Oreochromis niloticus: one gene and its partners. The protein of the gene in region 2 interacts with the protein of the main gene of each other region in a biochemical or structural test. Links are inferred from orthologs where the notes say so. Each region holds a gene or a part of one and is shown on either strand. Other genes may lie near its edges.

Region 1 (7,180 bases), on a different chromosome or scaffold from region 2:
TGGAGCCGCAGAGCTGGCTGATGAGGGTCAGCTGGTGCTGCTCCGTGTTCCCCTGCATGATCGGACTCCGTGTCCACATCTCGGCCATGATGCAGCCAGCCCCCCACAGGTCGATTGGAGGCCCGTAGTCTCGCTCACCTGCAAAAACAAAGATAACACAGAAATTAAAAAACTGCACCAGGAGTAGATTTGAAATATATTTTACTTTTTTTTTTTCCTTACCCAACAGCAGCTCTGGAGGTCGGTACCACAGCGTCACCACGCGGTTAGTGTAGCGGTTCCCCTGGCTGTTCTTGGCCAGGCTGAAGGCTCGAGCCAAACCAAAGTCAGCCAGCTTCAGGACGCCGTCTCTGGTTATGAGCACATTAGCTGCCTTCATGTCTCTGTGAAGGATCTGAGCAAAGAACAACAGATCATCATTAATATTCTGACAGTGGAATTTCATTTGGTTTAAGTACACACTGTGTCTCTGAGAGTCTAACCTTGTTCCTGTGGATGTAGTACAGCCCATTGAGCAGCATCTGCATCACCTTCTTGATCTCTGCCAGCGTGAACTTCACGTTGGCATTGCTCAGCAGCCCAGCCAGGTCATGCTCACAGAAGTCAAACACCAAGTAGATGCTGCCTTTGTACCTGTTAAACTGAGTGGCTGAAAAGGAGAACAGAAAATTAAAAACAGACCCCAAAAAACTGAAATCCACACAAAACATGCACTCGTGTCACACTAACCTTTGGTCCTGCAGATCTCGATCAGATTGACAACGTTCTCGTGCTTGAGCAGTTGAAGGATTTTGATCTCTCTCAGAGCTGTGATTGGGAACTAAAGGGGAGGAAAACCAGCTACATTATCATCCACACCAACTTTCAGCACACTGGATTTTAAATGATGCCAAGACTCTGGTTTCTTACCCCTTCTTTCTCGTTTTCCATCAGCACTTTCTTCAGTGCAACTTTCTTCCCTGTCTGTCGGTGCTTCGCTTTGAACACCTCCCTGTACAAGAGACAATTTTAGACAGTCGGCTTTTTAAACTACTCAACTCAAATGGTATATAGCCTAACCTATAGTAGGGTAGAGAAACAACACTGCTGGCATTTGTGTGGTAGACATGATCTCAGTCCACTTCAGACAAGAACTGCTTCATCCACAACATCATGTAAGTGGTGCAGTGCCGCCAGGAGTACTCAGACCTTTACAGACTAAACACTAGGGGTGGGTTTTGATTATCGATTTCCCAATTAAAATCGATTCTAGCTTGAATAACACAATATTGATTCATTAAAATCCTGAATCAATTTAAAAAAAATTTAAATGTATTTTACCCGAAACGCCAGAATCTCAGGTTAAACCTCACAGAATTTCGACAGCCACCAAACAGCTAAAAACCTAAGTGCGAACCCACCGACGCATCAGAATCAGTGAGATGTCCGCTTTCTCACCCGATGGCAAGTACACTGACACCCCGTCTGGGCTGAAAGCCGACAGCTCAAAGACTCTGATGCATCGGCGGGTCTGGATCCAAACTACGCTTCACATAAACATCGTCACGAATTCCCTCTTACTTTTGCTGTTTTGCTTCCACCACGACAAAAATGGCACTTCATGCACAGCTCTCTTCATCTCTTCTCTTCCCATCTAAAAATCTCGGTTTTCTGCATTATTCGCTTGCTTATTACGCACAAGTCTACCGTTATGTACAGCGCTGTTGGCCGCTGTTTTTTGTTTGTGTGGGGGTTTTTTTCTTCAACCGACTTCCAACAAGAAAGCCTCATTTCTGCTGTTCAATACTGAAGAAATTTAAACTTTTTAAAATTATGCAAAATTGCTAAATGTTTAGCTGTGTCTCTAATTGAACCTCTGTAACTTTGCTCGGCTTCACTTCAGCCGCATCAGGTAATGTTGATATGTTGATTCACGGTTTTCTTCTGTTTTTGTTCTACTGCAGAATATCTTTAAGGTGGTTATCTGCTATAAAAAGACAGGCGGGGAAAATCTTCATGTTTTTCTGTGTTTTATGCTCTGTTACTTTGACACAAAGGAATCTGCTGTGATGCTTACACCTCTGATAAAGTCTCACAAGTGTCAGCTTTTGGAATCGAACTGTGGATCGAATCGAATCCGGACCTTGTGAATCGGAATCGAATCAATTCTAGAAATCGGTGACGATACCCAGCCCTAGAATAAACACCCACAGAAGCATGGCACAGCATCGGAGAATCAGCTCATCAGGACAGAAGTCAAGCTGCCTCCCTTCCATCTCAGGGGAGAAGAGTTGTCCCTCATTGAGAATAGAACGCAAAGTCTTTTTTGGTGCTCTATGGATAGAGCCTGGTTTGTCTTCAGCATGTGGCTCATTTAGCCAGTCACAAATTATTCCCGTGCCATATCTTTGTGCCCTGTTGTTTCAGTTGATCGCAGCAGAAGACCATAACCCATGAAAGCTTTGCAACTTTACAAACTAAATACGTTTTAAAAAATATGTCGAAACAACAGGTATCAGCTAATGCCTTCCTTAATAAGCAGCTGGACTAATACAGGAAGGGAACTTCCGTTGTTTACTTGCTCTTCATTCACTCCGTGCGGCTAGCAGTTAGCACAGCTGGCGTTTATACGGAATTCGCAAAGCAGTTAAAGATTTAGTCAGACAACCAGCCTGCTGTGTACTACTCACCCAAAGGTTCCTTGTCCGATCTTGGCCATTTTCTCGTACTTGGAGAACTCGTCACAGAAAGGGAACTCCACTCCGTCGTAGTACTTCGACATGATGGCGGCCTCCCGATCGGGCCTGGACAAAAGGAAAATTCACGAGACTTTAAAGTGGTTACATCAAACAAGGCTTGCACAGAACGCGCCTCAAATGCAGGTGAAACAAACTAAAGCAAACCCGTTTGTTAAATTGAAAAGTAAATAGATTTAGTCTTACTTTTCAGCCCCGGTGGCGTTGCTTGTCTTGTCCCGCTGCATCTTGTCCAACTCCGCGACGCAGTTACGTGTGGAGCGTCTGCGCACGGCGTCACCTCTAGAGCTCAGCGACGCCCCGCCCACTGATCCGGGGGCGGGCTTTAGTTATTCTTTTTTTATTTTTAAATTTATTGTACCCAAAATCAAATACAAATGGGCAAAAAGCTAAAATAATCCCAAAAGAAGCGACAATAAATCAAAACAAATGAAAAATACTTAAGGCGTCTGGGAATGGATCTCAAAACTGGATTATAGATGGCAGACAGTTGGTGTCGTAAACCACCGCCTCTGTTCAAAGATGGTCGTTCACAGTGGACATAGATGGCTTCTTTCACTCCTCTTTCAAACCATCTGTCTTCTCTGTCCAAAATGTGAACATTGGCATCCTCGAAAGAGTGACCTTTGTCCTTTAGATGCAGATGGAGCTGAGTTTGTCCCATCGAGGTGGCTCTTCTCTGTTGTGCCATGCGTTTATGCGTGGCTGTTTGGTCTCTCCAATGTAGGGGTTTGAGCATTCCTCACTACACTAGCCTATACTACATTGTTAAATTTGTGTTTAGGAGTTTTGTTTTTGGGATTAACCAGTTTTTTTCTGAGTGTGTGTTGAACTTTATGTTTTTAACCACTAATCAAAACCAACGAACGAATCCTTCACTGTTCACATCAACTCTGTGGATAAAAACACCACAGTTCACCAGGGAAGACACAAAGGACAACAGTTTGCCATTTCTAGACTGTGCTGTGCACATTGAGGAGAATGAAAACTTCAACATGTTTGTTCTAAAACATTTGTTTTACAACATTTATAACATTTGTTTTACAACAAAAATGGAAGCCACCTTCTTCCCCTTCTCCCAGCACCAATCATCAGATTTGAAAAACTAAATAATTAGTTTTTTAGTTTTCACTGTCAGATCAGTCTTTTAGGTAAGATCCTTAGTATATTTCTGTCTTACCTCCCAGGGAAAACAGCAAAACAAGCAAATATTTTCATATATTGTAGTCCCAAACTCCTGAATTTTATTACAAAATGATGGCATATGTACAAAAGACTCAGGATTTTTACAGTAGTATCATACATAATCTGTATGGTGTCCAATAAAAGCAATGCACAATCTTAAAGTGAAGAAATTATCCCTCGCATCACTGGAAAGTATTTGAATGTTTCTAAATATCCTTCCCCACTCTTTTATTATCCCATTTCAAACTTAAATGACGGTCCCAGGTCTTCTTGAGAGCTAAAAGCTTCATTACCCAGTTTCTGAATCACCAGAGAAAATACACAAAGTATTTTATCAAACCGACTGTGCACAGGTGATAATGGAGGAAAATGAGGCTGTTAAATACCGTACTGAAGTAGAGCTGGAGGTTAAGTGCATAATAATAAACAGGATTTTAGGTTCTCCCGACCCCACCCATCATCAGCCAGCCTCTGCAGTATGTAAACAAGATTATTTCGTAATCCCATCAAACCTAAATAAGAAAGGGGGATCCTGAGGAGTGATGTAATGACTGGTACTAATTTTTAAGATGTTAACAATCTCAACTACTGATGAGTTTAGTGCTGCCCAGCAAAGAGAAAATGTGTGTAGTAATGGATCAAAGTTTGTGCTTCTAACCAGATCTAAAACAAATGCTTTACCCCAAAATGATCTAAAGTTTTTTTTAAAAGCTTTTATGACCTGAAAGTTACTTCTAGCAGACAAAACAGAGACAAATTATCCAAAGGATCCCCCTGAAAACCTGTTTTTGACCTTCCAATTCCTTTTTTAAAGAAAGGCAGTGAATTACTGTTCACCAGGGTTTAGCCCTGAATTTAAGGGTAAAATCTTAGAAAACCGACATAACTGTAAACGTTTGATCAAAACTATGAGTCAAGATACAGTACAAATTTGGGTCTCCTTGCTTACTAGTTTACCACCACATGGGGGCGCTCTCCGCACCAAACCGGACTGATTGATAAATTAATAAACGTGAAAATACAAACCAAGACATTCTGACGACCGCAAAGCAGCAAAAATGCTCATGTAAATTAATAAATAATGATTATGTGTCATAATGAAAACATATATCAAACTAATTTAAGGAAAAAAATACTGATACTGATCTAATCTCAGGTCGTTCTGAAAATTTCCACAGCTAAAAATGAAAGCATGCCATTTATAATCTGTAGATACAACCGTGCCAAAAACAAACAAACAAACAAACAAACAAACAAATGAAAACATTTATCAAAATTAATAGTGTTATAATGATTTATTATAAGCATATTATTGCGTATAATATATAATAATAATATAATATATTATATACTAAATAACTCCAACCAAGATTCTCAGCGGATCATCTTCCTCCATCTCACCCTGTACCTACCTACTATCCTTCACCACATCCATGGCCCTCATCTGTAGTCTTCCTCTTTTCCTCCTGCCTGGGAGTTCCATCTTCATCATCCTTTGTCCAATATAGTCACTCTCCCTCCTGTGCACATTTCCAACCCATCTCATCCTTGCCTCTATAACTTTGTTTCTAAACAACTCAATCTAAGCTGTCCCTCTGATGTACTCATTTCTAATCCTGTCCATTCTGCTCACTTCCGTTAAAATTATATATTTTATTTGCTCATTATTATTATTACTTACGGTTTTGTTCTTTTCACATTCATATTTTCCAAAACCGTAGAGTAGGTCGGATTGGAGACTGTCAGCCGATTATGCCCCCCCTGGCCTTATCGAACACGCTTACTTTATATTTTCTTTTTAAGAAAAGCTTATTTATTGTTTATTATTGTTCGTGTTTTTTATTTGTTTGCGTTTTCACGTTTTTTTTTATAAATAAGTAAAAATGACGGGGGCGTGTTCTGACGTCATTACGCTTGAAAAACGAGCCTTCCATATTTGGTGTCCCCTTCCTGGAACAGCTTCACGCTTCATGATGCTGTGCATGTCGCGCATGCTGCGGCGGGGCTCGGGCATCGCCGCGCGGCTCGCACGGCGGGACCGGGCGCTCAGTTTGGCGGGTCTTTCGTGCCGGCACTACAGCACCGAGACGGCTCCTCACATCCCGGGAATGGAGTATCAGGTACGCTCCGTGACCGCCGCCGCTCGTGCTCCAGCGGCTAACGAGCTAGCTAACTGAGCAGCGAGGCTGTTTCCGAAAGTTTGGAGGTAGTTTTTGGGCTGTTTGGAGTTTAATGGAAACATGGCTGACAGGAGCGCGCTTTGGCAGCAGGGGGAGGAGGGCAGTTAGCTGCAGGCTGCCCGGAATCTGCTGTTACACGTTAGCTTGGACAGCTATTAACAGGTCGCGATGAGACTATCAGTGTCAGTGGCTAAAAGTCTGCGCTGGCACGTGCTGTGGTATTTCTGTGTAGCCATGTTATTTCTGTTAGTTTGACTCGTGCCAGGCTCACCTGACCTTTTCCTGGATGAACTCAGGTGTTTTTGCTGTTTCCTGTAATGTTAATGTGAGTTTTCCGCAGTTTCAGAGCTGGGACTGTCAGAGCTGTCCGTAGTCTGACCTCCACTCTATGCAAAATTGAGGAGATAAGACCCTTTTTATCTCCTCTTGCTGCTGCTTTCACGAGCATTTGGAACATGAAATTTTACACTTGGCGTCCATCATGGATTTCCTTCGGCCAGATATTAAAGAGACTCAATGAATGAGTTTATTGTCACTGCAGCAAAATTATCTTTCAGGATTTTCTGAGTCTGTTTCAACTGTAGACTGTATGTGAAAGATGGAAGTAGCTGTCCATTGACCTCTTGGTGTTGTTATGAAACCCGGCAGGCTCAGGGTGGATCAGACTGCCTGCTCTTTGGTTTATGATTGACGAGGCGCATATCCTGCTTTAGGCTCCACTGTGACTGTAATAATGACCATAATTCATAAAATAAACGCCACATTTTCTTATGTAAGACTTTAAACTCCTGATTGGCCCAGTGAACTGATCAGGAATGTGTTCACTGCAGTCACAAATCAATTAATGCTGGTTTATAGAGAACCAGAGGAGTCGGAACCTGGTGGCGATTAAACAAGGTTTAAGCCACTTCTTTATTGGTCTCAATATGTAGATTATTTTTAGACACAATCTGTCATAATTCTACAGAAATAACTGCTAAAAAAAATCATTTTTTATTAAACAAATAAACTTAAGTATACTTTTTGTAGTTGCCCTCTGCAGATTTAAATAATTTGGACACTTCAGATGTTTCCAGATGT
Region 2 (7,799 bases):
TTGTAAATGCTACACAACAAATGCGATGTAACGTGATGCACAGAAAACACGGTAGTTATTTTTTATCTAACACAATTTTCTCTGTTCTTGACATCTTTGCAGACAGTTGCAAACTGCTTTTCTTCATCTATGGTACTGAAAAGCAAACAGAGTCACAGCTTTATATTTCCAGTTCATTCATTTAATTTGCATGTTTATTTGTTGATTACAATAAGTCGTCTTCTGTAGATGGTTTCAGGTGTTGGAACACTTACCAGCACAAGCAAGGTGAGCAGTGAAGGAGACGGGGAGACTGGTAGTATTATTCTTGGCCTCTCAGAGCAGCTCGTTGTTGCAATGACTCCGTCGACTGAGACGCAAATAAAAAAGGAAGTACACACTTCAACAGTGGGTAAGACAAAGCTCAACCTTATGCTAATAGGTCAAATTTGAGTTCTTAGTAAATACAAACATAATGAATGCATATCTGTGTTCAAGATATGAGTCTAGTGGCCATTGGTTCATTGAGCCATGACAGCAAGAGTTCATCCCTCTCTGCCAAGGAATGTGAAATGAAAATCAACTTGGAGGATCTAGCTAGGGCCAACAATGGTAAGAGCTTTTTTAAAAAAATGATGACTGACACAGGTGCATCAACATCAGTGTTTTTGTTGTTGTTGGGTTTTTTTGTGATGTGATCACTTCCAGGTTCTATATCAGCCGCCTTTCTGACGCTAAATGGGATGGAGAGCATTCTCAGTCATCAATACTTCAAAACCAAGAATGTGACAGAGATGTACTCAGATGTTTTAACTGCCATAATACCAGGAATAAACACCACCAACCTCACAGAGCCTGTCAACTTTACAATTCAACACAAGAAGGTGTAGCATCAAGATTGTACACATAGAGTGTTTGCCTCCTTCCTGTTTTCCTGTTTTTTTTGTATGTTTGTCACACTTAAATGTTTCAGATCATCAAACAAATGTAAATAATAGACAAAGATAACGCAAGTAAATACAAAATGCAATGTCTAAGTGTAGGTGTTTGTCATTAAGGGAAAAAAAAGTGATTGCCCCCTAACCCTAATAACTGGCTGGGCCACCCTTAACAGCAACAACTGTAGTCAGGCATTGCAATAAGTGGCAATGAGTCTTTTACAGCTCTGTGGAGGAATTTTAGCCCACTCATCTTTGCAGAATTGTTTTAAATCAGCTACATTGGAGGGTTTTTGAGTGTGAACCACCTTTTTAACGTCGTACCACAGCGTCTCAATCAGATTGAGGTCAGGAATTTAACTTGGCCACTCCAAAGTCTTAATTTAGTTTTTCTTAAGCTGGAGGTGGACTTGCTGATGTGTTTTATTATCCTGCTGCAGAATGTTGTTGTGGAAGTTTTAGATTTAAATAAAGCCTGCAGACAAGCGGTGAGTGGTAGCTAACATTCTTTAACAACATAATCGTGCTTTAGAGTGAGGTCTTGAACAGATGGCCGACATTCTCCTTCAGGATATTTTGGTAGACAGCAGCATTCATGGTTTTCCAGGTCCTAAGGCACCAAAACAGCCCCAGATGTAATGGGACTCAAATCTTCCAAAATCCTCTCCTTTTGTCTCATTAGTCCACAGAATATTTTCCAAAAAGTCCTCAAGATCATCAAGATGGGTTTTTTTTTTGGCAAAGGTGAGATGAGCCTTTTGGTCAGAAGTGTTTTACTTCTTGAACTCTTCTGTGGATGATATTTTTGCCGAGTCTCTTTCTTATTCTTGAATCATGAACTCTGACCTTAACTGAGACATGTGAAGCCTGAAGTTCTTTAATGATGTTCTGGGTTCTTTTGTGATGTCCTGGATGAGTTGTGAATGTGCTCTTGGAGTAATTTTGGTAGCCCAGTCACTCCATGAGGAAGCAGGAAGCTTTCCAGACTCATAGCTATCAGTGACTTTGTTTCTCAGTTGTTTCTTTAGATTGTGGTATGATGTCTTACTCTCTTTGACCAAAATTAACATTTGTGCTTAATATGCAAGACACTAGGAAATCAGGAAGGGGGCAAACACTTTTCACATATTATATTGAAAAAGAATCAGACTTTTTATTCTTGCCTTTGTTTATTTATTTATTTTTTTTAGGAAGTACCAGAAAATGGAATGGTCACTTGTGTGTACTGGGAAGCTGGAGAAGCCGAAGGTGGACAGAATGGAGAGACAATGCGTTGGTCAAAAGAGGGTTGCTGGGTTGCATACTCTCAAAAAAACTACACTGTTTGTAGCTGCTCTCACCTTTCTACCTTTGCTCTCATAATGCAGATTGGGGAGGTATGTTAGTTACATGTTGGTAAGGTTGAAGCCTCATTACTTACAGGACTTAACATACTTGTACATTTTTCAGATTTTATTAAATTCACAACCCACAATTTGACAAATGGAAACATGCAGTGTATATAAGCGGTTAAATCCCTTTTTACATTTTAAGTGGAAGAAAAAAAATGTTTTGTAATCAGTCAAAATTTCTCTAGAACTTTAATTCGGTATTCTGTCAAACTGCTTTGTCAACAAGTATAGTACACTTTACATACCCAGTTTTAGACAGGTTATCCCACACTTCTTGGCATATGCTATCAAACCTGGGGAATTGTCTATGGACTGAAGGGAGAAATAACAGAAGGACTATAAATTGAAATAGGGTCCCAAAAACTGAACTGTAAATTGAACTGTGGACTTGTGGAATCATTACAAGAATCATTACTGCAGAATTAGAAAGATACACAACCTAAAAATTGCTCTTAAAAAATCTTCAACTTGGATTAAGTCTGAAATGGATCACCTGGATCTTAGACATTTGTCAGCTTTAAAGCATTTTAAAAAGCCATCCATTTTCATCTGCATCCATGTATCTCATTTTCAGCCTGTGCCACAGAATGACTTCTTAGAGTGGCTGAACCGGATATGTGTGATTATTGGACTTTTCTTTTTGGCTTTGGCCATCCTTACCTTCCTTCTGTGCAGCTGGAATCCCAAAATTAACAATACTGCCCGTCTCCACCTCTGCCTCAACCTGGCTTTTTCGCAACTCCTCCTGCTCTGGAATGACAAATACACTGATAATAAGGTACAACGTGGCTAAACTACAAGAATTATCAAAGGATTCTCTATTGTGTTCCAGTTGTCCATAAAGCTTACATTCATTTATCCGTCTCTACAGCTGGCCTGCACTGTCATGGCAGGGCTTCTCCACTTCTTTATTGTTGCCAGTTTTGTGTGGATGTTGCTGGAGGCACTACAGCTCCACCTGTTGGTTAGAAGGCTCTCCCAGGTGAAAGTCATTCAAAGAGATGGTCTCCCCAGGCCTCTTCTCTATCTGATTGGCTATGGTGTTCCATTTGTGATTGTTGGTGTTTCTGCACTGATCTATTCTGATGGATATGGACGTACTAAGGCTAATGTGTAAGTCGGACACGGTGCAATGCACAGATTTATGTATTAAATCCTTTTATTACTAAATGTACAAGACTGGATAATGGTCTCTAATGTGCGTTTTCATTGTAGATGCTGGCTGTCAGAAGAACGAAACTTCAAATGGGCTTTAACAGGGCCAGTGATAGCGATCCTTGCTGTGTGTCTATTTTTGTGTTAGAACTGTATTACACATTACATGTCTTTTCTTAACGTCATAATTTGTCTCAAAATTAAATTATAAATCTGTTTATTTTATCAGCTTAATTGCATCCTGTTTGGTGCAACTTTATGGAGTCTGCGGCCCACCTTGGCTAACATAAAAAGTGATATCTCTCAGTCCAAAGATACAAAGTAAGTTTAAGGTTTTATTTAATTTAAAGAGCAAGCTCAAATTCTGAGTAATCATTATGATTTTTGTGTACTTAAAGCAGCTTTTAAAAAAAAATGTCACTCAGTAGAGACTCGAGACTAATTGCAATTTCCATTCTGATTTTGATTATTTGCTAAATGACAACACAGATTTTTCCCTATTTCAACTACAATTGACATTATATAGAAAGAAAATCAACTTTTTTCAACACAAAATATTATTTGCATAATAAAAAATATTAAGCTTATTAAACTTTTGGTCCAAATTGAGTAAGTTACAGGATTTTCTCTGTCAAGCACGCTACTAATTGAATAGAAATTAGCTGCTGTATATCCACCTTTATATCAGATACTTGCATCATTTTCCCGTATACTTATGAATTCACTAGATCAGAGCACATCAACCCTTTTCTCTTTTTTCTCACCTGTCTGTAATTTTCCTTTCACAGCTCTTGCCTGACTCTCTTACTTGTGGTTGGTTCTGAGCTGTGAATAGTTTAGCTTGAGTCACTTTTCATTTGTTGGCTAATTTTAAAAAGTACACAATTAAGTGTTTGATCAGGTTTGTCATAACAAACATTTTCTATGGTGGTTTACTTTGGCGAACTTTGTGTCTTCACTCGTGGTGGGGAGTTTCCATGCTGGCAACTTGTTGGCATGCGCCTGTGAGTGTGTGCACAACTATTTGCATGCTTTTCCATGTGCAAGTAAATAGTTTTTTATTTGTGCACTGTGAGTGTGTAGAAATAGTAGTTTGTAACAATTTGCTCATGAAATGTATGTGCAAGACGCTGACCAGCCAGTCCCCCTTCTGGGCCGGAGAAGACTGGAAATTGGGAGATACCTTTCCCTTGCCAGACAATCAGTTCATCTCTAGAGACTAAATATGTCATCCTGTTTGACTATAAGTGCAGTTACAGTAGAGAAATAAATTCATTTAGCATACTGATGTGATTTTATTTAACATCCTGCTCCAATGTTTTGTAAAGAACTGTAAAAACTTTGTTGTTCTGTTTGCAGGTTGATTTTGTTCAAGATATTGGCCCAGTTTGTTATACTTGGCTGTACCTGGATTCTTGGCCTGTACCAGACAAACCTGTTCTTTCAGGTTGTTTTTATAGTTCTGAACTCCCAGCAGGGTACTTTTCTCTACATTGTCCACTGTGTCCTCAACAAAGAGGTAGACTCGTTATACCAGTGTTTCTTAACATTTTTCTCACATACTATATGTCAAACTTTTTATAATTCATTCTTCATAAGAATGCTGCACAGCAAGAAGGTCCTGAGTTCAATTCCACTATCAGGCCGGGGTCTTTCTGTGTGGAGTTTGCATGTTCTCCCCGTGTTTGCGTGGGTTCTTTCCGGGTACTCCGGCTTCCTCCCACTATCCAAAGACATGCACTTAGTGGGGATAGGTTAATTGATTAATCTAAATTGCCCATAGGCGTGAATGCGGGAGTGAATGTGAGTGCGAATGGTTGTCTGTTTCTGTGTTAGCCCTGCGACAGACTGGCGACCTGTCCAGGGTGTACCCTGCCTCTCGCCCTAGGCTCCAGCGCCCCCCGTGACCCTGAAAAGGATAAGCGGAAGCGAATAGATGTGTTCTTTATAAGAGAAAAAAAAAGATTTAAGTTAAATGTAGTTAAATAAAAGCTAAACTCTGCCCCACTAGCAATGGCTCTGTGGCTCTATGGATCTAGCTATAGGGCATGCACCACAGTTTGAAAACTCTTGTTTAATAATGACCTGCTCTGTGATTTAACATCATCTCTATTTACAACATATTAGTGGTATTTTTTTACGAGTTTTATGGTGAGAGTAAATTAATTTATTTTTCAAAGTGTGCATTTATTTCATATTCTAGATTAGAGATGAGTATGTCAAATGGCTGACCTGTTCGTTCAACAAGACCAGAGAAGGCGGCTCAGTGGTAAGTTTTGCATAGCAGCCACTTGACCAATGAGACTTTTTCACTTTGCCTACCTGTGTTGTAAATGTGACTGCATAAAGTGTTGCTTTGCTTGTAATAAATTTAAACCTTTTCTAAAAATGTTTTTTAGTTCTTCTAAAGTATCAGCACTACTTTTTTGACAGAAAAATGTACCATCAGTTTCCGAGGACTTGGACATCCCTCAGACGTCAACATCAGCTGATGTTGATAAATAAGTGACGGGAAACATGGAAGAAATAGAAGATTTATCTACTTTTCTGCTAATAACTTTTTACTTTCTTTTCAAATATTTCAATTTGTACTGTGAATTTACCTTGTAAGTTCTTTTGTCATGAAAAATTAGTGCATTTTATGTAATACTTGTGCTTTTCGATATTTAGAAAGTATTTTAAACTACTACTTGCTGATTAAATGTCCCAAGTTTTTCTCCCAAATGTTCACCTTTATTTTGAAAAGGTTATGGCCAGATATAGGTGCACCCAAATCATACATCAGATTTTGGGTTGCACAACCAGTTATTAGGGCTAGAGGACAATAACTTTTTCACACAGGACCAGGAGGGTTTGGACAGCCTTTTTTCTTTAATAAATCTAGTTGTTAAGCAAACATTTGCTTACTTAAGTTTTAGTTTTGCTTACTTAAAGTTGCTTAATGACGATTGATCAACGATTGACCAATGATTGATTCAGTGGGTGGAGTCAACTATTGTACAACTGGCTTGTAATACAGTTTTACAGGATTGCAATATACTCCTTTTAATGCTATTAAAGTGCTTGGTTGTGGAATTTACATACTGCTTAATTTGACTCAATAAAGTTACCTGACACCCAAAGTTCTGTTTTTGACCTTTTAAATGAATTTAAAGTAAATACATTATTTACTTTAATTTAGAATTTAGGAGGAAGAAAGTTGGTCACTAATTATCAGTGTCCCATAATACGGTTTACTCATGGGTGCCTTTTTGGCATGAGGAAAGGAAGGAGTCTTGCCCTTTTTACAGGCCTGAAACACAGCCGCACAGTATGACTACATTTTTCATGCAGGTGCCATGATTACTGCAGCTTGACGAGAGCACACAGTAGGGTGCTGGTGGAGGCTGAAGGAGGAGTAGTTGGTAACATAAAGCAAATGCAGGCACTGATCGTATACATATGAATTAGCATACACAAAACACTGATACGGTTGGTCTCGAAGTAGGAGGGAGCTCTGATGCAGGTTTTGACTGAAAGCTTGAAATGTTTTTTTTGTGTGAAAGGACAAATATTCAATAGATCAGAAATACGAGATGGACTAGAGAAAAAGAATGACAAGCAGGACAGCCCCTGTTTTTTAATTTCACAAATAAAATAGCTATTTGATAAATTTTGAAGTGTATTTTAAAAGTCCTTAGTCTCTAAATTGATTTGGTCCAGATTTTAACAGTATTGGGAATTTTAAGTATAACTGTGTTCATTGTCTTTGAGATCTGAGAAAGGAACTAAAGAAAAGAATAAATGCTTCACAAATCTGACAGGTTTTTTTTGTTTAACATGAAAAAGACATAAAAGTCCTGCATGTCACATTGTGTGTATCTTTCCTAGGTCCTTAACATAGTCAACACAAGTTGGTGAATTTGCATTGCTTTTTGCATTCACATAATGCTTTTAAAAGCAATATTTGGGTGTTGTTCATGTTTTACAATGTGAACATTCAGAACAGATCTGGAGACTTGACTTGACTTGTCACTATGGATTGTGTCTTGTCACTTTTTCTGGGTAAGTGAATTTGACAGAGAAAATAAACTTTTTGGAACTGAAGGTATTAAATTGATGTCAGTGCTAATTTTAATGAGAAAACTAGATTATTAAGATGGAACAAATTTTAGTTTAGATTCTGGATTCAAAGAGACATATGTCTATTCAAATAATGGTAAATTCTAAACAGTTACTATTACTGACTACTTCAAGTAGCATTTCATAAAGATATGTGTAAATTTAAGTCAATGTTTACAATACTTTAATTGCAAAAGTTTTAGTTTTTGGTTTTTAGCTGTTGAAAAATCACCTT
Region 3 (7,058 bases), on a different chromosome or scaffold from region 2:
GCCAGTGTCTACTCTCATGCTAAGCCAAGTTCATGTGTCCAAAGCACTACACTGAGTACAGACGCTCTGACCGCCTGTTACTCACATGTCAAACGCACAAACACAACTTAGTGGGCGCCTCCCTGTGAGCTGCACTTTGGAGAAACTGAAGGAAGGTGTGAGTCAGTGTGACACGGATGGAGATGGGGACAGACGAGGACAACCAAAGTGTTTTAATATTGGCTGTTAAGATGATGTTATACAGTAGATGAACCAGTATGAGCATGTGACTTTAATTGGTTAATACAGCCAGCCGAGACAGCATCACTACAGACTGTAAATCTGTCGTTACTGCTGCTCATTCAGATCTAAAATTAAAAGGTAGTATGACAAACCAGACTGAATTATCCCCCAGTACCATCCAGTCTAAAAAAAAGACATTAAAGACAACTATAGGTCGTGTCATCATGGCCACTGTAAGTTAGTGATTACCAACTACTTAAATTTGATGTAAAACTGAAAATTCTGGGTTTTGAAGTCCACAAACTGTTTCATGGTCACCTACGTTTGGTCTGTTTCATTCAGAGCACATCATTATACAGCATATGTAAGTATGTCTAAGGCTTATGACTCATCCTTATTTAAATAACAGACATTTAAAGTGAACTTTAACATGGCAGAATGTTAGTGTACAACTTGCAGCTTATACAAGGCCACGTACACGTCATTAGCTTCATTGACAGAGTCAGTTCGTGTCCATGTAGCGTTGGTAATTTAGAAGTAACTCGGCATTAAATGGACAATGAACAAAAATCATGCTTCTATCACTATAAAGTACACGATCCTCTGTTTGTTCACACTATAGTTTCATTACGAGGAATTGTGCGATCCACCTGTCATTAAATCTATCCTGGTACGTGCTGTTACTGCCATCTAGAGGTAAACGGAGGAGCACACAACATAATGGAAGTGCAAACAAAAAACAACACATCAGGTCACAAAAAGTGATCCTTGCATCAATGAAATACTGACGTCTTCATTTAACTTTGACACACTCATTTCAATAAATCCAATGTGAATCACTGCCAGATGTGAGCGCCTGCCTCGCCTTTCCAAACCTACATATTATATTTCCAAATACATTACAATTAAACTGAGGACCAGATTTCCCAATTTAGGATAATCACAGAGGGGCTAAGTGGGCAAACACGTCCACAGGGGGAGAAAGTTCTGTATCTACTGATTTTTTTAAAAAAAAGATGAAGAGTGTCCTCCTCCCTCCCACTGACACTGCACGTCGAGTTCAGTTACATCATGCTTGGTTTTAAAATCAAAATACTGAGGAGCAGAAATATTTGGGGCCTTGCTCCAAACCAACCCATATGGAAAAGAAATAGAAAAAAACTTATAAAAAGACGCATCAGATGTAGCCTACTTCATATAGTGAATCATATCAGGCTTATATGATTTACTCATGAAAGTGGCCACTTTCATATATTGTTTTAGTAAGTATCCAAAACATACAAGTTTCATTTATATAATTTTTCAAGGGATCTTATATCTCTTTTCACTCTTGTATGCTTTTCATACAAGTTTCACACAAGACAGATACAAACTTTATAAGAGAGAGAGATATATATATATATATATATATACACACACACACACACACACACACACACACACATATATATCTTTTCCATATGGGAAAGGGTTCAAGACTCGGTGAAGATCTACGGGAAAGAGGCACCACGCTCTGAGCCGTCCGACTGCACCTAATACTCCAAAAATGACAGGTTTCTCTGTGCACACAGCATGCTATTTAAATATATATGAACTCTCCCCACCCTCAGTAAAGAAGCTTCTAATTAATTATTCATCCCATGAAAGCTGGACTAAATTCCCGTAAAACTGCCAGAATGCTTTCAAATATCCAAGCGTGTTGAATATTACAGCATACCAGCACTGGTCTGCACATTTACCTGTCATAGGGTCAAAGAGTTGGTTGGCCTCGAGGTCGGTGAAGGTGGAGAAGCAGCAGGGACACCGGAAGGATGCACGGTTGGTGGAGTCTCGCTCATCTGTCTCAATGCGACGTCGCATGTGATCCAGTTTATACTTGACCACATTGACCAGTACCCTAAAAAGACGTTAGAAAGAAATAAGACTACTGAGTCTAAAGTGTTCATCATCCGCACACACACACAAACACACACAAAGCAGAGACTTAAACCTGTAATTAATGAAGTAGTAGTTGTGTCTCGTTGTCTTGCCATCGGGCGCCGTCTCCACTCTCATGCGGCACTTCACAAACTTGTCTGCTTTTAGGGTATTGAGTACTGAGCGCAGCTGTTTGCGGTCATACTTGAGCAGCTCCAGCATGTCCTCCTCACGCACACATGGGTTACGGATCAGCACATCCAGCGCCAAAGCATGCTCCACACCATAAAAACCCCTCACGACCTGCTTGGCCAGCCGCTTCAGAGCTGCGGGGACCTCGGTCAGTACCTCTGGTTCAATCATCTTAGGGTCTGGAGAGAAAGGGCTGCAGGGCAGAGTGCGACACCAGGGGAGAACATCAGGAAGGCAGGGATGAGGAGCAGGGCCAGAAGAGTTATTCCAGTATAAAACTTTAAATTTAAGAGGGAAGTGTAAGCTAGACCACATTAACCCAGTGGGAGAAAAATCCCCGTTATAGATATGTCAAATCATCAATCACAGTTTAGCATAGCTTAGCTTAAGTTAGTGGATCCAAACAAAGACTAAAACTGAGATAATGCACCAGGTTGGCCGGGGTTATTGTACATTTTAATCTAATATAGTACAATAGAAACGCGGCGTGTTAATCGTTTTACCAGTCATCTTATTATTCCACACTTTATCTGTAATAAAAGCTCGATAAAGTTACTTTTATTTAAATTAAGCGCTAACACTGAGTTCGCCGGTAGAAACCCGGTAGGCGTTAACGCGACTCTTACCGGTTATTGTTCATGTGCCAACAGTCATTTCAGAGTCTCATACACTGACGTTAACTCACAAAAACACCGCTAAAACTCAATGAACACAAACGCACCTCACAGTCTTTTAGCTGCTGGGTTAGCCAACATGCTTCACTTCTTATTTTGAGACGACGACCCCGGAAATGAAAAATAAACCCGGGCCAACTGGAATGTTGGCCCGGCTGCGCTAAACTGCACTAAGCTGCACTAAACTACACTAACTAGCCAATAGAAGCAAAGAAGCTTGAGTGACGGGCATATTGGCGAATAGCCTGGCTTTGTTTTCATGGGGCGTGGTTTTAAGAACACTGTTTACTTCCTGATCGCGTCTGTCAAAAAATGGCCTCTCTTGACAGGGTAAAAGTGTTGGTTTTGGGAGATTCCGGTGAGTTATGAACTATTTTCACTAGCAAAACCTTTACTACTGTCATCTGCTCTTATTTATAAGGACATTTGCTTATTAAAACTCTTAATCTTTAAGTAGGAGACTGACGCTGTGGTCAGTTTGCTGCTGTGGCAGTTAAAGCTATGGATAAACATCACGTAACACAACTGTCATGTCTAACCTCACGGGTAATTTTCACAATAAAGGTACATCGGCGAGTGATGCTTAATTTTAATACCCGTCATTTTTACATGACTTTGCGGCAGGCGGATGTAAGTGTTTGGGTATGAAACGATTCCACATCAAGAGGTTAAATTTCACAGAAACACGTTTTGCCGAATCAGAGAGCGACACCCTACAGATCATTACAGATACTTACTGATGTTGTTCCGGAGATGTGCTCTGATGGAAGCCGAGTCTGTCGTAAACTGACCCGATGTTTCAGTGGAGCTCAGTTGTCTTCCAGTCAGCAGCAGCTGTAGAGTCTATTCATAATTTAAATGCATTAATATCTATCAGCCACACAAAAATGTTTAACCCTGCAGTCACTGCTGTACTTTGCATCAGCTTCTTTTATCCAGTATCATTTTGTGCTCTTTGCAGGGGTTGGCAAGTCTTCCTTGGTCCATCTGCTATGTCAGAATCAAGTTTTGGGAAATCCATCGTGGACTGTTGGCTGCTCTGTAGATGTGCGGGTAAGCAGGTCCAGCATCTTCTACTTTACATAGTCCTAATTTTGGTCAGACTTCCTGCTGGCCCTTTATATTACTCTCTTATAAAACACAACAGAACACACTAACGAGAGGGAGACAGGTGTAACAGTGAAGCTGAAAGGAACAGGTGGGTGGGTTTAAATACCAGGGGGTCAGGGGTGTCAGGGGTGATCTGTGACAGAAGGATAGCAGCAAGAGTGAGAGGGCAGTTAATGAGGCCTGCTATGATGTATAGTTTGGCAACTGACAAAAAGATAGGAGGCAGAGCTGAAGGTGTTCAGGTGTTCGGTGGGAGTGAGCGGGATGGACAGGTTTAGAAATGAGTCCATCAGAGGGACGAGGCTGGGATGGTTTAGGCATGTGGAGAGAGGTAAGAGTGAGATGGAGCCAGATGAGCTGCTGCGGCGCCCCCCAAAGGGAGCAGTTGAAAGAAGAAGAATCGATGTCGAAATACTTATTCTACTCCAGGTTCAAGACTATAAGGAGGGAACCCCAGAGGAGAAAACCTTCTACATTGAACTCTGGGATGTTGGAGGATCCGTTGGCAGCGCCAGCAGCGTCAAAAGCACCAGAGCAGTCTTCTACAACTCGGTTAACGGTAAACAGTTATAGACAGATCTGAAAGCATTGATTTCATCAGTGACGTGTTATTGAGAAATGCTCTGTCATGTTTGGGTTCTTTTAGGAATTATATTGGTCCACGATCTGACCAATAAGAAGTCCTCTCAGAATCTGTACCGCTGGTCACTGGAAGCTTTGAATAAGGATTCCTCTCCAACTGGAGTCATCGTCTCAAACGGGTGAGCAGATCTGTGTGTTTGACATCGTCCGTCTTCATTCAGAATAATAAACAGAAAATATGGCTAATGTGGAAGCTTTGATTTTTGACTGCAGTGACTATGACAGAGAGCAGTTTGCAGAGAATCCGGTGCCTTTGCTGTTGATTGGAACCAAGTTTGACCAAATTCCAGAAAACAAGCGCAGTGAAGTTCTCACTCGGACGGCTTTCTTGTCTGAAGACTTCAATGCAGAAGAAATCAATCTTGTAAGTCGCCTTTTTCTGCTCTACGAGCTCTCAGCTCCTTTAAAACACATAAATCAGTTTAATTCATTGGTTTATCTCTCACGTAAAGCACAATGTCAACACTCATAGAAAAGGAAACTAGACTAATGATGAAAATAAAGCGGCGATTCTCACACTCCCACACCATGTATGTTTTTCAGTCAGTAATATACAGAAAAATTCTAGTTCACAACAATAAAAACAACACACATGTATCATAAACATCACAGCATCAGTAAGCTCCTGTTTGTCCTGTGTCTGGTCCTCCTGCTGGGGTCAGTTTCACTGCGAGAGCTGAACACTTTTGGTTTGTGGCTGAAGTGTTGTGTTGTTTTCCCAGGACTGCACCAACCCCAGATACCTGGCTGCAGGCACCTCAAACGCTGTGAAGCTCAGCAGGTTCTTTGACAAGGTGAGAGCTGTGACCTGTGTCACTGCGGTCTGTCAGGCAGGTCGTGACTCACACGCGTGTGTGCGCCTCCGTCTTTGTGCTGTAGTTACACGTGTGGATTTATCGAGGGCACAGAAGCTGACAAATAGAGACAAACATCATTTGGCTTTCACGTGTATTTTGAACCATAGAACTGGAGGATAAATGTCTCACATTAATGGGAGTCCTTTCTCTTGACATGTACGTGTGTTCTGACACATATTAAACCTTTCAACAGGTAATAGAGAAAAGATATTTCACCAGAGATCCCAGTCAGGTCAGTTTGTTTTCTCTTTATTTCTGTCCAGTCACAGAGTCGTAACAGTTTTGGTAAAAGGTTGAAGGTGAACTGTTTCCCACTTTCTCTGCAGATGACTGGCTTCACAGACAGAAAACGGTTCAACTTCAAAAGTTTGCACTATGACTGAGACCTGTGATCAGACCCCGCCCACTCAGACACGCGCTGGAAGTGAATCTAGAAAAGTTTGTAAAAGCTGGAAATGACATTTGAAGAAGATGCTGAGGACAGAGAATGAAGAGGCATGCTTTGAGCTTTTTATTACACCATCATAAATGAGACCACACATTTTTAAAACATATGCTTTACTGCTCCTCTGACTCAGGCATCATTCCTGTGCTCCTCCATTGTTTGCTTGATCCACGGGATGAAGGAACTGACTTTAGTGAAGACATGCGGGTACCTTGGATCATTACAGTCGTTTGATGAGGTATAAGCTGTTATGCCTTGAGGCTTTGTGTTGCAGATAAGTGGTCCACCAGAGTCTCCCTACAAAGAAAGACTGATTGAGCGATCTGTGTAAAGGTTGCACATTTTTGTCATGAATAAAAAACTAAACCTGTATTTGAGTTATTAGCTGCTGGGCTGCTTTTGTTATTTGATTACCTGGCAAACACCTCCGTCCCGTCTGGTAAACTTGGTGCATATCATGTGACCAGAGTTAAAGTGTTTTTGCCAAATGTGTTTGCACTCAGTGCTGAACTGCATCTTCTCTGTGGCTTCTTTTAGGACATTTGAATGAGATCCATTAGCTTTGGTTAGTCCCCAGCCGGCCACAGCACATTTAATGTTGGCGGGTATTTCCCCGTTCTTCTTAGGCAGTCCCATGGTCCTCACGTACTTATTCAGCGTGGCGTTCTTTTTCAACTGTCAAAGAGAATCAGTCAAAGTTGCTCCTGCATCAGTTCAACACATGAACCCAGTGCACAGAGAATCAGGTCACTTTAAACATTTCCTTTGACGTGAAGTTTGACAGTTTTACCTTCAGTAACATGATGTCATATTCGTATTGTCCAGTGAATCCTGGATGAGGGTAGTACTCGGCTACTTGGATGCATTGCTGAGTTCTCTCTTTCTTGCTGATGTCGTGTGCTCCGAGCACCACGCTGCAAGAACCCCGGGTCTCATCTCTGAACAACAAGAAACACAATGTTCAAAAAAACGTCTGCAGTCACACTGATACTGACATAG
Region 4 (7,836 bases), on a different chromosome or scaffold from region 2:
AAATTAGTGACTGAGTTCCACTGTGTCACTCTTCATCTGCAGGTTGTTTAGAGCGCCTGTTCTGACTGAGTCTTCCAGTTATTCACATTTCACACTGTTGTTAATTCGGTTGCACCGACTCCCCATTAACGTCCACGTTAAGATCCTGGGTTTGACTTTTAGGGTTATGCATGGACAGGCACAATTGTACATCAGTGAACTTTTACATCCCTGGCAGGTTCCCTGAAGTCATGTGATCAGGGCCTGTCGGCTGTGCATCATACAAGGCTGAGAACTAAATGAGAAACAATTCAGACTCTGGAACTCTCTCTCCCACTGAGCCTGAGATTGTTGAACTCTGATCTCGTTAAAAAAAAAAAGCTTAAAAAATTTTAGGGCATTTTCACAAAATTATTTTACTCTGGTCTGACTCAGCTGATCAGTTTGCAAACTTGCTGCTTTTCCCCGTGTTTTGGTTTGTTTTCACACAGAAAAATTCAAGTGAATGTCAAGCGAATAAAAAAAATGTGTCATAACCAGTGTTGGTCAAGTTACTTGAAAAAAGTAATCAGTTACTAATTACTGATTACTTCCCCCCAAAAGTAATCCCGTTACTTTACTGATTACTTATTTTCAAAAGTAATTACTTACTTAGTTACTTTTTAAAAACACGATTTACAACCTGAATAGGTGATAAAGCGATAGATTTTTCTGCATAATCCATCATACAAAATGTAATCAAATGGAAATGTCTCTTTTTAAAGCTTGTTTTATTAGTGTTAATCTTTTAACTTTATGCATTAAGCAAAAACTTAATTATATGCAACATTCTCTGACTGGAAGAAATTTGTTTAACATTTAAACCTATTTTCTGCACATTCCAGCTCATAAAATAAAATATGTTTTTGTGTTTACACTCACTCTTTCAAATAGATGCAAGTAAAACACAGCAGAAAATAAATAAAATCAAAGACTAGCGGTCCTGTTGCTCTATTTTCACCTGTAAAGCAGGACTGGGGTAGGCGGAGGTTTACCCTGGTGCAGGTGTGCCGCAGCGGTCAGTGGAAGAATCCGCGAGTTTCTCTGTGAATTTCACATTACGTCGCAGTACACTCTGTGCTTGCTTGGAAGTTTAGGGGGTTTTTTTCGCTGTAAAAAGTTTTCTTCCCACGCACAACGGACACTAATGTTTTTGTCACTTTTTATGGAATCAAACTCAAAATAAGGTCAGTACTTCCACGCTTTAAACGCTGCATGCTACACTCTGTCCCGCACTCGATATATTATGATCTGCACACAGCTGTTGTCAGGAACGTCGCACTCGCTTACGTCACTGTCATGAGACGTTCTCTCAAAAAAATCACGGTTTTAGTAACGCAGTAACGCAGCGTTCCTACGTGAAAGTAACGGTAATCTAATTACCGTTTTTGCAATAGTAATCCCTTACATTACTCGTTACTTGAAAAAAGTAATCAGATTACAGTAACGCGTTACTGCCCATCTCTGGTCATAACAAATCATATGAGAATGTTCAGTCCGCTCACTGGCCAGATGTGTCTGGGGTGGAAGCAACAAAAGTAAATACAGGAATAACGTCCTGTGTGAGAAACCTGAGAATTTATGTTCATTTCACGGTTAGTTGAAAGGAGATTTTCTTGAGTTATATATAGAGATATACATTCTTACTTAGTTTAGGTAATCTGTGAGAGTAGTGGGTGTTGTTCTTTGCCGCAATGACGAAAAGTAACAGAACAGTCAAAGAGTGGGAGGTTTCTGATTAAGGGTGGATGAAACAAATAAGGTATCTTTTTTTATCTGTTTAATCAAGAGAAATCCACATCTCTTTGACAGATGCTTGTCAATACATGACCTTCCGGGTCTGTAACCACACAAGGTGTTATACACAAATGTACATTTCTGTCACTGGCAAATTAAACTGTAACCCACTTTTTTTTTAGATCATGGATGGTAATCTCTTCACTGTTGGTGGATTTCTGATTTATATTACATTAGGGGTGGGTTTTGATTATCGATTTTCTGTGTTTTATCCTAAGTTACTTTGACACAAAGGCATCTGCTGTGATGCTTACACCTTTGATAAAGTCTCACAAGTGTCAGCTTTCTTTTTATAGATATAAAAATATGGATATGTACTGATAAATGATAAGATTTATAATATTTCTGACTGTCTGAGGCAAAATTTCCCTGATTCAAATTGAATCCATTCGAGACCTTGTGAATCGGAATCGAATCGATTCTAGAAATCTGTGACGACACCCAGCCCTATATTACATACGTACAATATTGAATTTGAAAAAAAACCAAACATCCATCGCTTCTTTACATTTTGCAAGGAAAACGGGAAATACTTCACAATAGCAATCATTAAAAGAGTGGATGTGAAACTCTCAGTCAAATTAGCTCAATCAACTGCACTTTACTCCTTCATACGCACATCCTTACCGTGCCACTGATAGCAAAATCAATAATGTTAGTAACTTTGAATGCAGAAATTATTTGCTAAACTACAGTAATTTATTATACGTGCTTAAAGGAGGGTACGTCAGACCACTGTTGTGTAAAGGTAGACAGACTGCACGGGAAACTGCGTGTGTTTACAAATGATTCACAACTGCTCACTGAGTGGTAACGTCAACAACACATTAGCTTCAGTTTCAGCTTCACACCATTGTAATACACGAAAAAAGTTGAAATGTGGACAAACAAGTCTACAATGCAAAGACGATAACGTGGCAAAAAGCAGGAGCATCAGCACCACATCGCTGTCCAACAAAAACACCGACTTCTGGTAACATCTAATGGCTAACTGCTAGCCAGCTAACTAGCTGTGCTAACAAATAGCACAATGGAACGAACACCGATCGGTAAGCACAGGGACGTATAGTGTTTTAGCTTTAGGAACCACGGCGCACACCAGTATTTGTTCTTATGAATTAACATCTTAGAACCACATGCAAAGAAAGTATAGGTATTACATTTACTTGGCTCTATCACTTACCGGCTTGTAGAGGCCATGTCACTTCTTACTCTGCCTCAGAATCAAAGAAACAAATGAGTGTGGCACCTCTATTTATAACCTCTTCTGATCACGTGTCCACATGAGTACGGGAAAAGAAAAAGACCAAATTAAATAGAGGTAGCCTTCAGTTTCTTTTACGTTGGGCTGTAAAAATGCGTCACATGAATACGCAATATTTGTTTTGTTTTTGGACATTTTCATTTATTGTCAAGAACGATGTACAATGACAATACATTAATGGTTACGCGAGCTAAGCCAGCCTAACGTTAGAGTTTTCTGTGACATGAACGTGTCTGTTTATCTGGCTAATCGCCAAACCGTACTAAAACCACTAAATGATGTGTGAAGTGACTTTCACAGGAACGTGGATGCATTATAAACACCTATAAAAACATAAATAAATGTTGTTATGCTTGATTCTAATCTGCTTCTGACTGCAGCTGCAAAAACACAGAACACCACGAATTTCGTCAATAAAATTCATTTCAGTTTGAACTACTGACAAAGTATAGTGACTGTCATGTCTCCTTCATTACACCGTGGGACGGTAACAATCAATCAATCTTTATCGACAGACTTTATGTCCATAGTTAAACAAAAGAAACAACAAAACACAACACAACATATAAACCTTAATTAAAAAAATAAAATATTTGAAAGATATAAAACCATAATATACATAAAATACACATTTACTTAGAAATCAATAAATACACAAACACTTCAACCCGTGCTTCCTCAGAGTGAATGAGTAACGGGAACCACTCACTGTCAGCTCTGTGATTGCTAAAATTATACTGTAATAGTATTTGCCTGCACAAAGAGTTTCCACGTTGTCCATATATGTCATCATCATCATCATTCATTTAATCAGTAATAAAGTGACCAAGGTATTTCACCTTTTATGAACCTCAAGAGTATCGTCGGACAGTTTAAACACAAGGAAATTTAGCTGTTTATCTTGCTTTGTTCTACATGTCAAGATAGCACTTTTAACAGCGTAGTACTTTATATCATATAGCACACCATATTCAGTACAAATATTAAGAAGCTACTGTAATCCAGCACTACTTGGACTAAAAACAACCAGTTCATCTGCATACATATGATGATTCATCAATGTTTCACCTAATATACATCCAGTGTTACAGGTTCTCAGCTGTATGGACAATCATCATCAACATATAAATTAAATAAAATTGGAGACAAAATCCCACCCTGTCTGACACTATTGCTAACACCAAAGGGGGCAGAAATGCCACTTCCCCATTAACCTGCATCTTCTGATGAGCGTACCAGTAAGACAGAATCCTCACAATCTATCCAGGAACTCTCCGTCGCTTCAATTTATCAAAACGTTTTCCAGGGTTCACTCGATCAAAAGCTTTAGAGGCATCAATGAAACACATAAGGGCAGATGAATTTTAGGACCTATACAAACTGACTGTTCCCTTGAGTGCATATATGCACATGTCCGTGCCATGCTTTGGTTTGAAGCCAAACTGATTATCCAGGGAAGAGATGAACACACTAACTCTATCAAACAAGATTTTTTCTAGCACCTTAGATAAAATACTGGCTAGTGCAACTCAATTTTACAGCTTTGTCCTTTTTAACTGCTACAAATAAAATACATAACATTGAGTCTGGTAGTTTGCCATGAATCATAAGCCTTTAATGTCTAATTGTATGCAGGTTAAAGTTTCACTGTCATATTTTTAATGTTTGTTTGTTTTTTTATCTCTGATTGGAGGCACTCATAGGGATCATTTTGTGAGAAAGAAGGGTCATGGGCCCACTGTTCTTTACCAAAAGTGGTGATAATTGGCACTGTCCCTTTTCGTACTTGGAAGTGTTGGTGACTATGTGGTGATCTTCGAATTTTTTCCTGTAAGAGGATACCACAGAGAGTAGGCCTACTCGAACCTTAGGGCTAATGGATCCGCAAGGCAGAAAAGCCCAGCAATATCGGCTGTCTCCTCCTATCCCGTTATCTCTGGTTTTGTGTCGAGCCAGCTAACACAAAGAAATCCTGGCTATGTTGAACTTCATTCATTGTAGACTATACCCCTCACACTGTCAGATAGACCACTAAAGCAAACCTTTAACTACCGGCCAAAACAGCCTATGCAACAGACACATGGTACTGCATAACCTAACAAATACAAACCTCACATTGCACCAGACTGTGACACAAATTGTGATTGTGGTTAGCCTGTGTTGTAACACAAACCCATCAGTGGCTCAATAGTTGAGAAAAGTTAACTGAATCTTTCAAACTTCTTTATTTAAAACAAATCTTTAAACTGCACAGTTTTTTTTTCTTTTCATAAGAGGCAACAAAGGTCTGCCAGATTGCTGTCAGTTTGTCTGTGTGACTCAGTACCAGTCTGTGTAATAATTCTTTGGCATATGCAGGAAACCACAGTCGCAAAGACTCATATGATTTGGTCAGGTTTTGTGGTAGCAAAATAACAAAGGCAAGGATCTGAGGCAACTAAACCTGAGTGAGATAAACACAAATACAATTGTGTTTGCAACTTATATTAATGTCTGTTGCTTAAAGAAAATGCTTTCAGCTGCAGTCTGCACCTACTGCATTATCATTACATCAGCACATAAGCCAGGACAGTCAGTGTGCATCAGGACAACACCAGATGGAGCTAAAAAATAAAAGCAGTGACTGAGGTGTGGAATATGCACATGCTACGAGAGCTCTGCAATACTTACCATGTTTACAGTTATTGGTTATCATTCAGCATGATTTGGTTCAGGTTTGCTTGAACAGTACCACGACTCTGAGACTGTAACTCTTTGATGAGTGTATACATCTTATATCTGCAAAGCATGGCTGATTCTGGCTCGTTGAAAAAAAGCTTTTGTATGGTTATCCTACCAAAAGAACCAAAAAAAACAAAAGAACACTCCAATGTGTTTCGGTTGTTCAGGAAATGATACAGAGGACAGCTGTGCACAGCGAGATAATCTCATTTTTTGCTGCACAAATGATATTTGCCTGAAACATGGCCTCATGTGATGCGTTTATAAATCTTTTAATATGCAATAGCTTTATGAATATTTGAAAAATGTTATTAGCAATGATCAAAACAGAGGCAAAGCAGAAACATAAAAGAAGACCAACAGGAAAATGTCCCTCTTAATGGTAATTTACTAACAATGACAAATATAACATACATACATACATGTGCAGAATTCAGCGGCCTGTGAGGTTTATGACTGTGCTGGTTACTCCATTAGAGACGCACTGCTGCAAGCGGAAAATGGTTACACTTAAGCAGGCTATGGCATGGGGTTACAAAATGCTTTTCTTACTCAAGATCCCTTTAACCTTTGAAAATATCTTTCACTTTACACCTTCAAAACAGCCCAAATTATCAGGCTTCATACGTGGCTTTAAGTGCTCCTTCAGCCTTTTCTCTCTGTTTCACTTCCATAAGAATGGCTTCTTGACAGCCACACTTCCACTGAGACCATTTCTGATGAGGCTTCAGAGAACATTAGATGGATCAACTGAAAAGTCAGATGCAGCTCTCATGTCCTGTGCGTTTTGAAGATTCAGCTAAAGAAATGAGAACAGATTGTATGATTTTTGTGATGTGCTGCTAGTAATAAAGTGCCTAGAAATTTAACTTAAAATTGACACTTTGCTAAGCTGTCTGTTATGTGTGGACACAACTCATTTCATCTCTTGAGTCATTCAGAGTGCGTTTTATATGCTTTAATGATTCATAAGTCCGTGTTTAGTCTGGCGAGCCATTGCTCAAGAAAAAAAAAACAAGAAACGTCTGGCTCCTTGGAAGCAAATTGTAAAGAAATGTTCAGTGTCAAGATTAAATACCGTTTCACCAAATTACTGGAATGACTGATCTTCTGTTATATTCAAATCTTTTACAATGGACCAAAAATGCCCCCCAAGCCTTTTCAAATATTTTTGTTTGTCTTTCAGTATAATCTTTGTCTTTCTAGTGAAATGTTTGCCTGACTCGTGCTTTTTAATATCACTGATAGCGAAAACCCTTGAATGGGCCAGCTGTTTCTGTGCAGATTCCACTTGGAGATATTGTTACAAGTCACAGCATAATGACATAAAAATGGTAATGTGCTCAGTCTGCTTCTTTGTCTCAAACACATGCAGATGCACAAAGAGTAACAACTACCTCAGGGCCTCAGAGGTTGTTATCCATCATTTTCCTGCTGCATCACCACATTATCATTCTTTATGACTGTCATATTACTACATTTTCTTCTCTAAGTATATCCAACAAATCTTTATTGATTGCATTCATCCACCAATCCCAAGCCCTCCCCCAGCACATAGCTAGCATTAGATTAGTTAGTCTAACTAACCAAAGGCTGAATTTCCCTCTCCACTCTGTGTGCGCGTGTGTTTGTGTGTGGGTGAGAGCTGTATGTGCATATGGGGGAAATTAACTGCCATAGAAACAGGTCTGTTTGTTTGTCTTTGTTGGTGCTTTGTGGCTTTGAAAGAAGCTGAATGACTGTTTATTTTTCCTACTTCTACATAGGGACCTCAAATGTATACATGTGCAGTTATTTCACTGATTAATGCAAAGGCTGACGCAAGAGTGTGATGTTGTGCAGCGCATTCTTTAGAAATCTGAGACGGAGATCCATGCTGAATAATTTATGCCACTTGTAAGCCTCACCACACCGGCCATAATCCTCGCCACAGTCACATAAACCAAAGCAGGTTTGGCATGAGGGCAGTGGCCAAATTTAAACCATATGAATGGTTATAAAGGTGGTCATGGAGTGACTGGGAGTTGTGTAACAGC

The links.
Region 1: the proteins of gtf2f1 (region 2) and cdk9 form a complex in vitro, tested with the Homo sapiens proteins (2 studies listed by BioGRID, with this or other methods). The link is inferred for Oreochromis niloticus from reciprocal best matches to the Homo sapiens genes GTF2F1 and CDK9.
Region 3: the proteins of gtf2f1 (region 2) and gtf2e1 form a complex in vitro, tested with the Homo sapiens proteins (3 studies listed by BioGRID). The link is inferred for Oreochromis niloticus from reciprocal best matches to the Homo sapiens genes GTF2F1 and GTF2E1.
Region 4: the proteins of gtf2f1 (region 2) and gtf2b form a complex in vitro, tested with the Homo sapiens proteins (3 studies listed by BioGRID and IntAct). The link is inferred for Oreochromis niloticus from reciprocal best matches to the Homo sapiens genes GTF2F1 and GTF2B.

Annotation. Positions count from the first base shown.
Region 1 is NC_031972.2:34,705,083-34,712,262, forward strand, and holds the start of cdk9 (cyclin-dependent kinase 9), read right to left. Parts: upstream 3,077-7,180; 5' UTR 2,963-3,076; coding exon 2,922-2,962; intron 2,784-2,921; coding exon 2,670-2,783; intron 992-2,669; coding exon 910-991; intron 821-909; coding exon 730-820; intron 650-729; coding exon 483-649; intron 395-482; coding exon 223-394; intron 139-222; coding exon 1-138. Other genes in the region: fpgs (folylpolyglutamate synthase, mitochondrial), read left to right, coding at 5,804-6,040. UniProt on the Homo sapiens protein: Protein kinase involved in the regulation of transcription.
Region 2 is NC_031969.2:16,047,389-16,055,187, forward strand, and holds the start of gtf2f1 (general transcription factor IIF subunit 1), read right to left. Parts: upstream 2,883-7,799; intron 2,621-2,882; 5' UTR 2,554-2,620; intron 2,294-2,553; coding exon of another isoform or gene 2,108-2,293; intron 864-2,107; coding exon of another isoform or gene 688-863; intron 592-687; coding exon of another isoform or gene 478-591; intron 392-477; coding exon of another isoform or gene 229-391; intron 133-228; coding exon of another isoform or gene 103-132; intron 1-102. Other genes in the region: adhesion G protein-coupled receptor E2, read left to right, coding at 103-132, 229-391, 478-591, 688-863, 2,108-2,293, 2,883-3,086, 3,180-3,421, 3,524-3,590 and 4 more; adhesion G protein-coupled receptor E1, read left to right, coding at 7,480-7,507. UniProt on the Homo sapiens protein: TFIIF is a general transcription initiation factor that binds to RNA polymerase II and helps to recruit it to the initiation complex in collaboration with TFIIB. It promotes transcription elongation.
Region 3 is NC_031987.2:1,404,458-1,411,515, reverse strand, and holds the start of gtf2e1 (general transcription factor IIE subunit 1), read right to left. Parts: upstream 3,102-7,058; 5' UTR 2,972-3,101; coding exon 2,958-2,971; intron 2,525-2,957; coding exon 2,213-2,524; intron 2,120-2,212; coding exon 1,962-2,119; intron 1-1,961. Other genes in the region: rabl3 (rab-like protein 3), read left to right, coding at 3,318-3,363, 3,967-4,058, 4,545-4,674, 4,762-4,876, 4,971-5,121, 5,480-5,551, 5,808-5,846, 5,941-5,997; granzyme F, read right to left, coding at 6,462-6,734, 6,850-6,997.
Region 4 is NC_031982.2:10,684,299-10,692,134, forward strand, and holds the start of gtf2b (transcription initiation factor IIB), read right to left. Parts: upstream 3,138-7,836; 5' UTR 3,016-3,137; coding exon 2,999-3,015; intron 1-2,998. UniProt on the Homo sapiens protein: General transcription factor that plays a role in transcription initiation by RNA polymerase II (Pol II). Involved in the pre-initiation complex (PIC) formation and Pol II recruitment at promoter DNA.